Bombyx mori: one gene and its partner. The protein of the gene in region 2 interacts with the protein of the main gene of each other region in a pairwise test. Links are inferred from orthologs where the notes say so. Each region holds a gene or a part of one and is shown on either strand. Other genes may lie near its edges.

What was found. The genes of interacting proteins can lie anywhere in the genome.
Region 1: the proteins of potential E3 ubiquitin-protein ligase ariadne-2 (region 2) and UBE2L interact in a two-hybrid assay, tested with the Drosophila melanogaster proteins (2 studies listed by BioGRID). The link is inferred for Bombyx mori from reciprocal best matches to the Drosophila melanogaster genes ari-2 and Ubc10.

Annotation. Positions count from the first base shown.
Region 1 is NC_085122.1:5,771,476-5,775,236, forward strand, and holds the start of UBE2L (ubiquitin-conjugating enzyme E2L), read left to right. Parts: upstream 1-848; 5' UTR 849-1,019; coding exon 1,020-1,046; intron 1,047-1,324; coding exon 1,325-1,420; intron 1,421-1,857; coding exon 1,858-2,044; intron 2,045-3,761.
Region 2 is NC_085111.1:10,061,373-10,065,133, reverse strand, and holds the start of potential E3 ubiquitin-protein ligase ariadne-2, read right to left. Parts: upstream 2,663-3,761; 5' UTR 2,436-2,662; exon of another isoform or gene 2,242-2,435; 5' UTR 2,211-2,241; coding exon 1,989-2,210; intron 1,715-1,988; coding exon 1,471-1,714; intron 884-1,470; coding exon 708-883; intron 338-707; coding exon 152-337; intron 1-151.

The sequences.
Region 1 (3,761 bases), on a different chromosome or scaffold from region 2:
GGGATGAAACATTATCTTAGTAAAATGGTGGTCATTTACTGAGATTTTTTCAGTAGCCTTTTTGGAGGATCCCGAGAAGTTACGTCCAGAGGCTTTGTTTCATTTTCCCACATTTGTGCACTTTCACAAACATTAAACAGATAATAAACCACCGTTATTACACATTTAAACCTGAAGAAACACTAAATAGACAAAATAAAACAAATCACACAACTTTACTCCTCGCGCTCCCGCCAAAAAGTCAATGGCGGTTAAAGGTAGGGAGAAGCATAGACTAACAAGAAATGAGCATTAGCTGTAGTAACCAGTACGTTATCAGCACCAGTTATAATATATTAATCTGTAATACAACGTAGATCGCAGAAAATACAATCGCTACAAACCAACATCATTAATAAAGCGTTTGTAGAAAATAGTGCATTGAACAATTTTGATTTATTAGTTGGATATAGTCCCTGTTTTCCAATTACAGCACAAGAGCGCATTATGCAGCATAATGCTCAACGTTGAATGTTTCCACTACAGCAACGTTTCGCACAATCGAGCACTCCCAAAAGTAATGCTCTAGCGTGATACTCGCAATCGATACCGACTCGATTGAAACATTAACCATTGAAACATTCAACGTTGAGCATTATGCCGCATAATGCGCTCTTGTGCTGTAATTGGAAAACAGGGAATAGCTTTATTAAATATATTTTTAATAACTTTATTAGTGCTCTTTTAACTCTTGTTACAATCAATCAACAATCATATTATTTTAAAAGACCGGTTTGCATCATAGCCCCTTAATTAAAAAAAATAGGTGGCAACACTAAATAAAGTTTAGTACAGTCACCGATCACCGTTTTTCTGTGATAAAATACTGAATTCATTGACGTTTTCCATGTTAATTCAGTTTCTTAATTTCTATTGTGCTGCGTAATTATGGTGTTTGATTGGAATGACAATTAATCGATTTGAATTTTAAAAAAGAATACCTTTGGAATATTTTGGGACATTTTAGCAAATTTTGTACAATGGCTGCAACGAGAAGACTACAAAAAGTAAAAAATATATTTTGTATTTCATTGATACTTTGGGACGAATATATATTTAAACCACGTATAGTTTTACCCGTAAATTTAACCTAAAAGTTAATTACGAAAGTTTGTTGCTGTACGAATTGTCAAATCTGCTTAAACACTTCATGTAGTAAATCAATCAAATCGAGAGAATGTCACAAACCTAAAATAGTTATTACAACGAGAACAATTTAAAAAAAGTATATTTTCAGCAACTTTCTCCCATTACTGTCATAATACTACACAATAATATTTTTTAGGAACTTAATGACATCAGACAGTCTGGCCTGAAGTCTTTCAGAGACATACAGGTTGATGAGTCCAACATCTTAACATGGCAAGGTCTAATTGTTCCAGTAAGTAACCATTGATTTAGTAGTGAATTTGTAATTTTTTTTTATAGATATTTTAATATATTTACACAAAGAACAATATCAGTAAATTATTGTTTCAATTAAATTTATTCAAAATTATTGTCTCATGTATTCTGATCAGAAAGAAGGGGTATCCCATTATTGTAATGCAAGTGTTCAAGTTCAACCTTTATCAGGGTGTACTTTTAGGTATGGATTTCAATATCTGTATAATGTTAGGTGAGTCATGAGTTATGTGCTAGAACAATTTTGTGTGATAATGTATGTATTTGTAGTCTTTCATGGTCAGATGTATCTAATAAAAAGAATCTTATCATGTAAAACAAACATTTTGATTTAGTTGTCATAGGTAAAAGATCTTGTCTGTTATACACTCCCCAAGTGATATTTTTAATTAATAACTAAATATTCTCTTTTAGGACAACCCACCTTACAACAAAGGTGCTTTCCGCATTGAGATTAACTTTCCAGCAGAATACCCATTCAAACCCCCGAAAATTAGTTTCAAAACAAAGATTTACCACCCTAACATTGATGAAAAGGGTCAGGTGTGCCTGCCCATCATTAGTGCAGAAAATTGGAAGCCTGCTACCAAGACTGATCAAGGTAAAGTAGTGATATGTTAGGTCCATAGAATATCTAAAATATTTAAATAAAAGTGAATATAACATTAAACCCAAAATAAATGTTTGTTACCCCAATCTCAGAGAATGAGGTTTATGCGGAATTACACTACACTACACTAACATCTGGAACAGGAATTCACAAAATGGGCAAGATAACCTCTTTTACAAAACATACTCATGCCTCAGACTACCATTGCCAAATTACTTTAAATACTCTAACTTGCAAAGAAAGGGAAAGCACAGGCTCAGCAAAAGCTGGAATTTGCTAACAACTGCCTGAGTGCCTCTGAAGGAGATCTAACTGCTCCAGGATATGGACCTGTACACTCTTATCAATTTGTTGAGTTTTTTCAAAGTACAATTAGTCATTCTTATAACAAGTTGTGACACATAACACAATTTAAACAGTATTTTGAAAATTTCAAATAAGTACTTCTGTTCATTAATAGAGGTCAATTTTTAGACCTGTTTATACAAAATAAGTTTTTGCTTATGTCACCCCTGGAAAACTGATATTGGCTCTTTTGGAATTCTCTCATCTGTACATTCATTTGTAAATAAATATCTTATTCAGGAACACTACTGTTCAATAATACAAGACAAAGCCTACAGAACCCGGATTTTATTTTTTATTGTTAAGAAACCCTTAGATTCGAAGCTTAAGAAGGTCTTGAACAAAAAAATACTTAAAGTATGGTTTGCCAATATTCAGATAATTATCTAATCTTACAGCCATAGAGTAAGAATAAGATAATGCCTTATTGTACACTTAAATAAAATTACAAAAGTATAGATCAGACAACTGTCAGATAGTGAGAATCAAAAACGATATAATAGTAGATTCTGGTAGGTCTGGCATAGGGCAATTCTGTCGAAGCTACCATCTTACGGAATCCCCGAGGGTCTCTGCAAGTGGATCGCTAGCTTTTTGGGTGAGCGGAGCATCACGGTCGTTGTAGACGTTGACTGCTCTGACCATGACCATTAACGCTGGCGTTCCACAATGTCCGGCCCTCCCCACGCTTATCCTGTATATCAATGACAATTGACGGCATGCATCGCTATGCGGATATCAACACGGGTGATACGCGATATATCGGCCTCAGAGTCTCTCTCGGAGCGTGGTGCAAGAGGGATGTTCAAAACTTGTGTCTGAAGTGGAGAACTTTCTGGGGCGAGTCTCCGAATGGGATGAAAGTCCGAAAGTCAACCCGTTAAAAACACAAGTTTGCGCGTTCACTGCAAAGAAGGACCTCTTTATCATGACGCCTCAATTCCAAGGAGTATCCCTGCAACTTACCTTAGAGTATCGGGATACTTGGGGTCGACATTTCGAGCGATGTCCAATTTCGGAGTCATTTGTTGGGCAAAGCCAAGTTGGCATTAAAATCCTGGGAGTCCTCAACAGAGCGAAGCGGTACTTCACGCCTGGACAGCAAAGACTTTTGTTTTATAAAGCACAAGTCCGGCCTCGCGTGGAGTACTGCTCTCATACCTGGGCCGGGGCTCCGAAATACCAGCTTCTTCCATTTGACTCCCATCAAGAAAAGGGCCGTTCGGTTTGTCGATAAACTCATTCTCACGGATCGTTTGAAACCTCTGGGTCTGCGGAGGGATTTCGGTTCCCTCTATATTTTGTACTGTAAGTTCCATGGAGAGCGCTCTGAGAAATTATTCGAGATGATACCATCCTCCCG
Region 2 (3,761 bases):
ACCTATATGAGAACATAAATATCAATTGAAGTCTTCTTTTGTATGAACTCAAACAGAAACCGCTGGTGTCTGGAAGTACTCAGTTAGTCAAATATTATTTGCATATGGCAAATTTTCTTAATCTCTTGCTTAATCTCTAAAATTTCCATACCTTAGTGTGGGCACTAATATAGTTTGCAGTTTCAGAGTCATCAGCACATTTGGTTAACCATTGTCGAATTGTAGCACAGTCAGTAGGAGCATGATGAGGAGCCCCGCATGAGAAGCATGTCAATGATTCACAACCTTTGCATTCAACACGGCGTGCTCCTTCACGAATGAATGCTCGAAAAATCCACTAAATGTAAAAATCAAATGTTTTATTGTATTATTTTTGTTGAGAGATATTCATTAATTTTTTTTTTATTTCAATCTTTCTTGGGCCAAATTCATTTCAATTAGGATACTAAAAATAGAAAGCAAGTTAGATTTTTATTGTTTTGTATTATAAAATGCTCAAATAATATTAATAATATAAAAACTGTATTGTAATTTGTGATTTTGAGTACTTGTATTGTTTTACATTATTAGAAGGTTTTTTTGTATTAATTTTGGATTACTTTTTATCATTCCAATTAATCAATGAGATACGTAGTCCAAAAAATTTGATTTATAAAAAAATGTTGTCCACAAAATTCCAATGATTTCAATAAAATAATGGAACAAACCTGACAGTTAGGACCAGGGCAGAATCTAAGTTGTGGGTGAGATTTAACATGATCTTTAAACATGAATTGTTGGTATCGGTCCCTTAATGCTGGTTTAGTAACATGTGACAGAACAAAATCCTCTGGCGCTCTGACCTCACAGTTTTGAGCCATGCAGCGTATTGTATTTGAGACTCCTAAAATTTAAAATGGAGTACAAAAAAATTAGTTATTTTATATTTTTCGTTTATTATTTCAAAATCCCAAGTACTATAAAATTAGATGTCATTTGTAACACTGCAACATTCTTTGAAATGAATGACATAAGGATGATCTTGCATATGGTAGGTGAAATTATCCAGTAGACCGTCAGTCAAAATATTATTGTCTAGAATTTGTACATATTGATGCTTGAAAGGCAAACATGACTAAGCAACATTAACTGCTTTGTACATAAATGATAGGCAATAACCATATTCGAAGCGCAAAAAAAATATATCTCTAGGTCTATTAAAATCATTTCAATCCTACAGCTACTAGCTAGATTCGTTAAAATAAATTTTGTTTTGAGGTATTTCAACTTTAAATTAGTCTACTGTAAAGTTCACGCATTGTTGCTTAGTCACGTTTGCCTTTCAAGCGTGGTTAAGTAAGATTTTCTTGAAAATTTTGTAAGTAAGATTCAGGCATCTGTCAAATATGTTATGTTCTAGGATTACTATCCTCTACAATCCCTTAAAAATAAACATTTTAAAACAGATTTTAGCTATATCTTAAAACTCACCTTGCATTATTTGAACTTCAAAATGCATTGCCCAACAGTCGTTGCAAAAATAATGTCCACATGCTAGTGCACTATACTTGTGCAGTTGAGGTGTGCTGGCACAAACAGCACAACTTGATCTGCTTGATATACTTTGTGAAGGCACTTGTGGCTTCACCCTACTGAAAACCAACACTTCATTTGCATTTTCTTTATATTTGTTAATTATTTCTTGAGCATTCCATTCATATGCATGTAGTGCTACCTGAAAATCAGCATATTTGTTACAATTTTGTATCATAGAAACCCTTAAAATGGATTAATCAAAATCAGTAACTTTAGGAAATTTTCAAGGTACCTACGCAATAAAATCACAGCAGGGGGTATAATATAATGTGGTCTAATATTCGTTCAATTGTCAAGGTTGGTTTGGTAGTGAAAATAACCACTTTATGAACTATGACTTTGTGTACATGATGAGTAACAATTATTCTCGTTTTATATATGTAAAGAATGCTTTACACTGAAATTGGGAATACCTTGGCGAGTGATGGTGTTATCTGAAGGCTGTTACTAAGTAATTCAATAGATTCGTTGAGTAATTTTTCCACTTCTTCAACTTTCAGACAAGAAAACACAAAATACTCAGGATCTGACTTAGTGCGATCGGCTACTTCCATATCACAATCTTCGTGTTCACCGTAGTAATCATAATCATCGCCGTCATTGTCAGAATATTCCATATCAGACTCCGCAGACATTTTGTAGTTTGGTTCTTACGATGTTTTTTTACTACGAAATAATGTGTTTTGGTCTTCTACCTTTAAAAACACTATAACACACTATATATAGTATGTATTCGTATTTGTATCATACAAGTACACTCTACGAATTACGAATTGAATTGATCTTCCACTTGTCAAAATGATGAACAATACTTTATAAGGAACTAGATACAAACAAACTAATTATTCTCAAGTAGGTACCTGATTTTTTTTCACAAATAAAATTTTGTGTTAGACCATAAATTAATGATCTAAGGTTTAAAATTAATAGCGGTTTGACTTCATTATTCTAGATGTTTTAATATTGAAATAGTTATGTACAGTAAAATTAGGTACTATAAGCATTTCCTGTTTTGTGTAAAACCTATTTTATTTTTGCTAACTGCGATTTAAAGACTGTAATTACTAGTCTAAGTATATATCCATATAATGTACTTTACTTAACACTGCGTTTTATATAACAATCGTATTATTTATGATTCTGCGCAAGGAATAACTAGTGTGCTCTGAACATAAGCACTCCAGATTTTTGTATTTTGGTATTTGTCCCAATAAGTAAATCTAATACAGAGAGAAACATTACGTCAATTAATTTTGTGATATTCCTTGGAAATAGTACTTTAAATTGGTTGATAACGGATCCCACCAGGTTCTTCTTTGGTCTGACAACGTTCATGCAAAATGTAATCAACCGGTCCGACCTCCAAATATTAGTATAAAAGGGTATCCTGCTGCAAAACGTTGAGCTTGCCAGTGATCTATCGTCAAAACGAAATACAATTTAACCATAGGGCTTTGAAGCTTCTAGCCCCTGAAATCTACTACCCTTGGGTTCAATCTGTTTAGCTTGGTGATAAGTAGGATTTATCGAATCATTGTCGCTCATTGACAGAATTTTTATTAAGCACTTAGTACCTTTGACTTCAACTAGAACTAGTCTTTAAGCTAGGCTCTACAAACCTCTTTGCAATACATTTAATACGTTCAAACACTCGAAAAAAACAGCAGGAAAATTCAGTTTAGATCATGTTGGTATTTGACAAAAATGAAGAGTTTGTTTGTATGTTTGTTTGGTTGAACACTCTAATCTCAGGAACTCCTGGTCCGATTTGAACAAGTCTTTCAGTGTTAGATAGCCAATTATTGATGAAAGCTATAGGTTAAATAACATCACGCTAAGACCAATTCGAGCGGAGCACTAACAAAGTATGTTTAAAAAACGGTTTCTTTTTTCTTTTGAGGGCTTCCGCTGCGTGCGCTGCGGAAACGGTTAAAGTTTCGCTCAAATAATGTAGTACAAAATTGTTCCCTTTTAAAAGTCCTAACAAGAAAGTCCGCGACAGCATATGTCTATATTTTAAGGTTGGCTCAATATAACCTTTTTATATATCTCATTTGAAGTTGGTTAAAAAGCGTGATTTTGGTACCTTAAATAGCTCATTAACATTCTATTATTCAAAAATATTTTCATCTTCAACGTACATGAAGTCGCGGGTAAAATTTTGCGTTACCCCAAAGTGGCCCAAA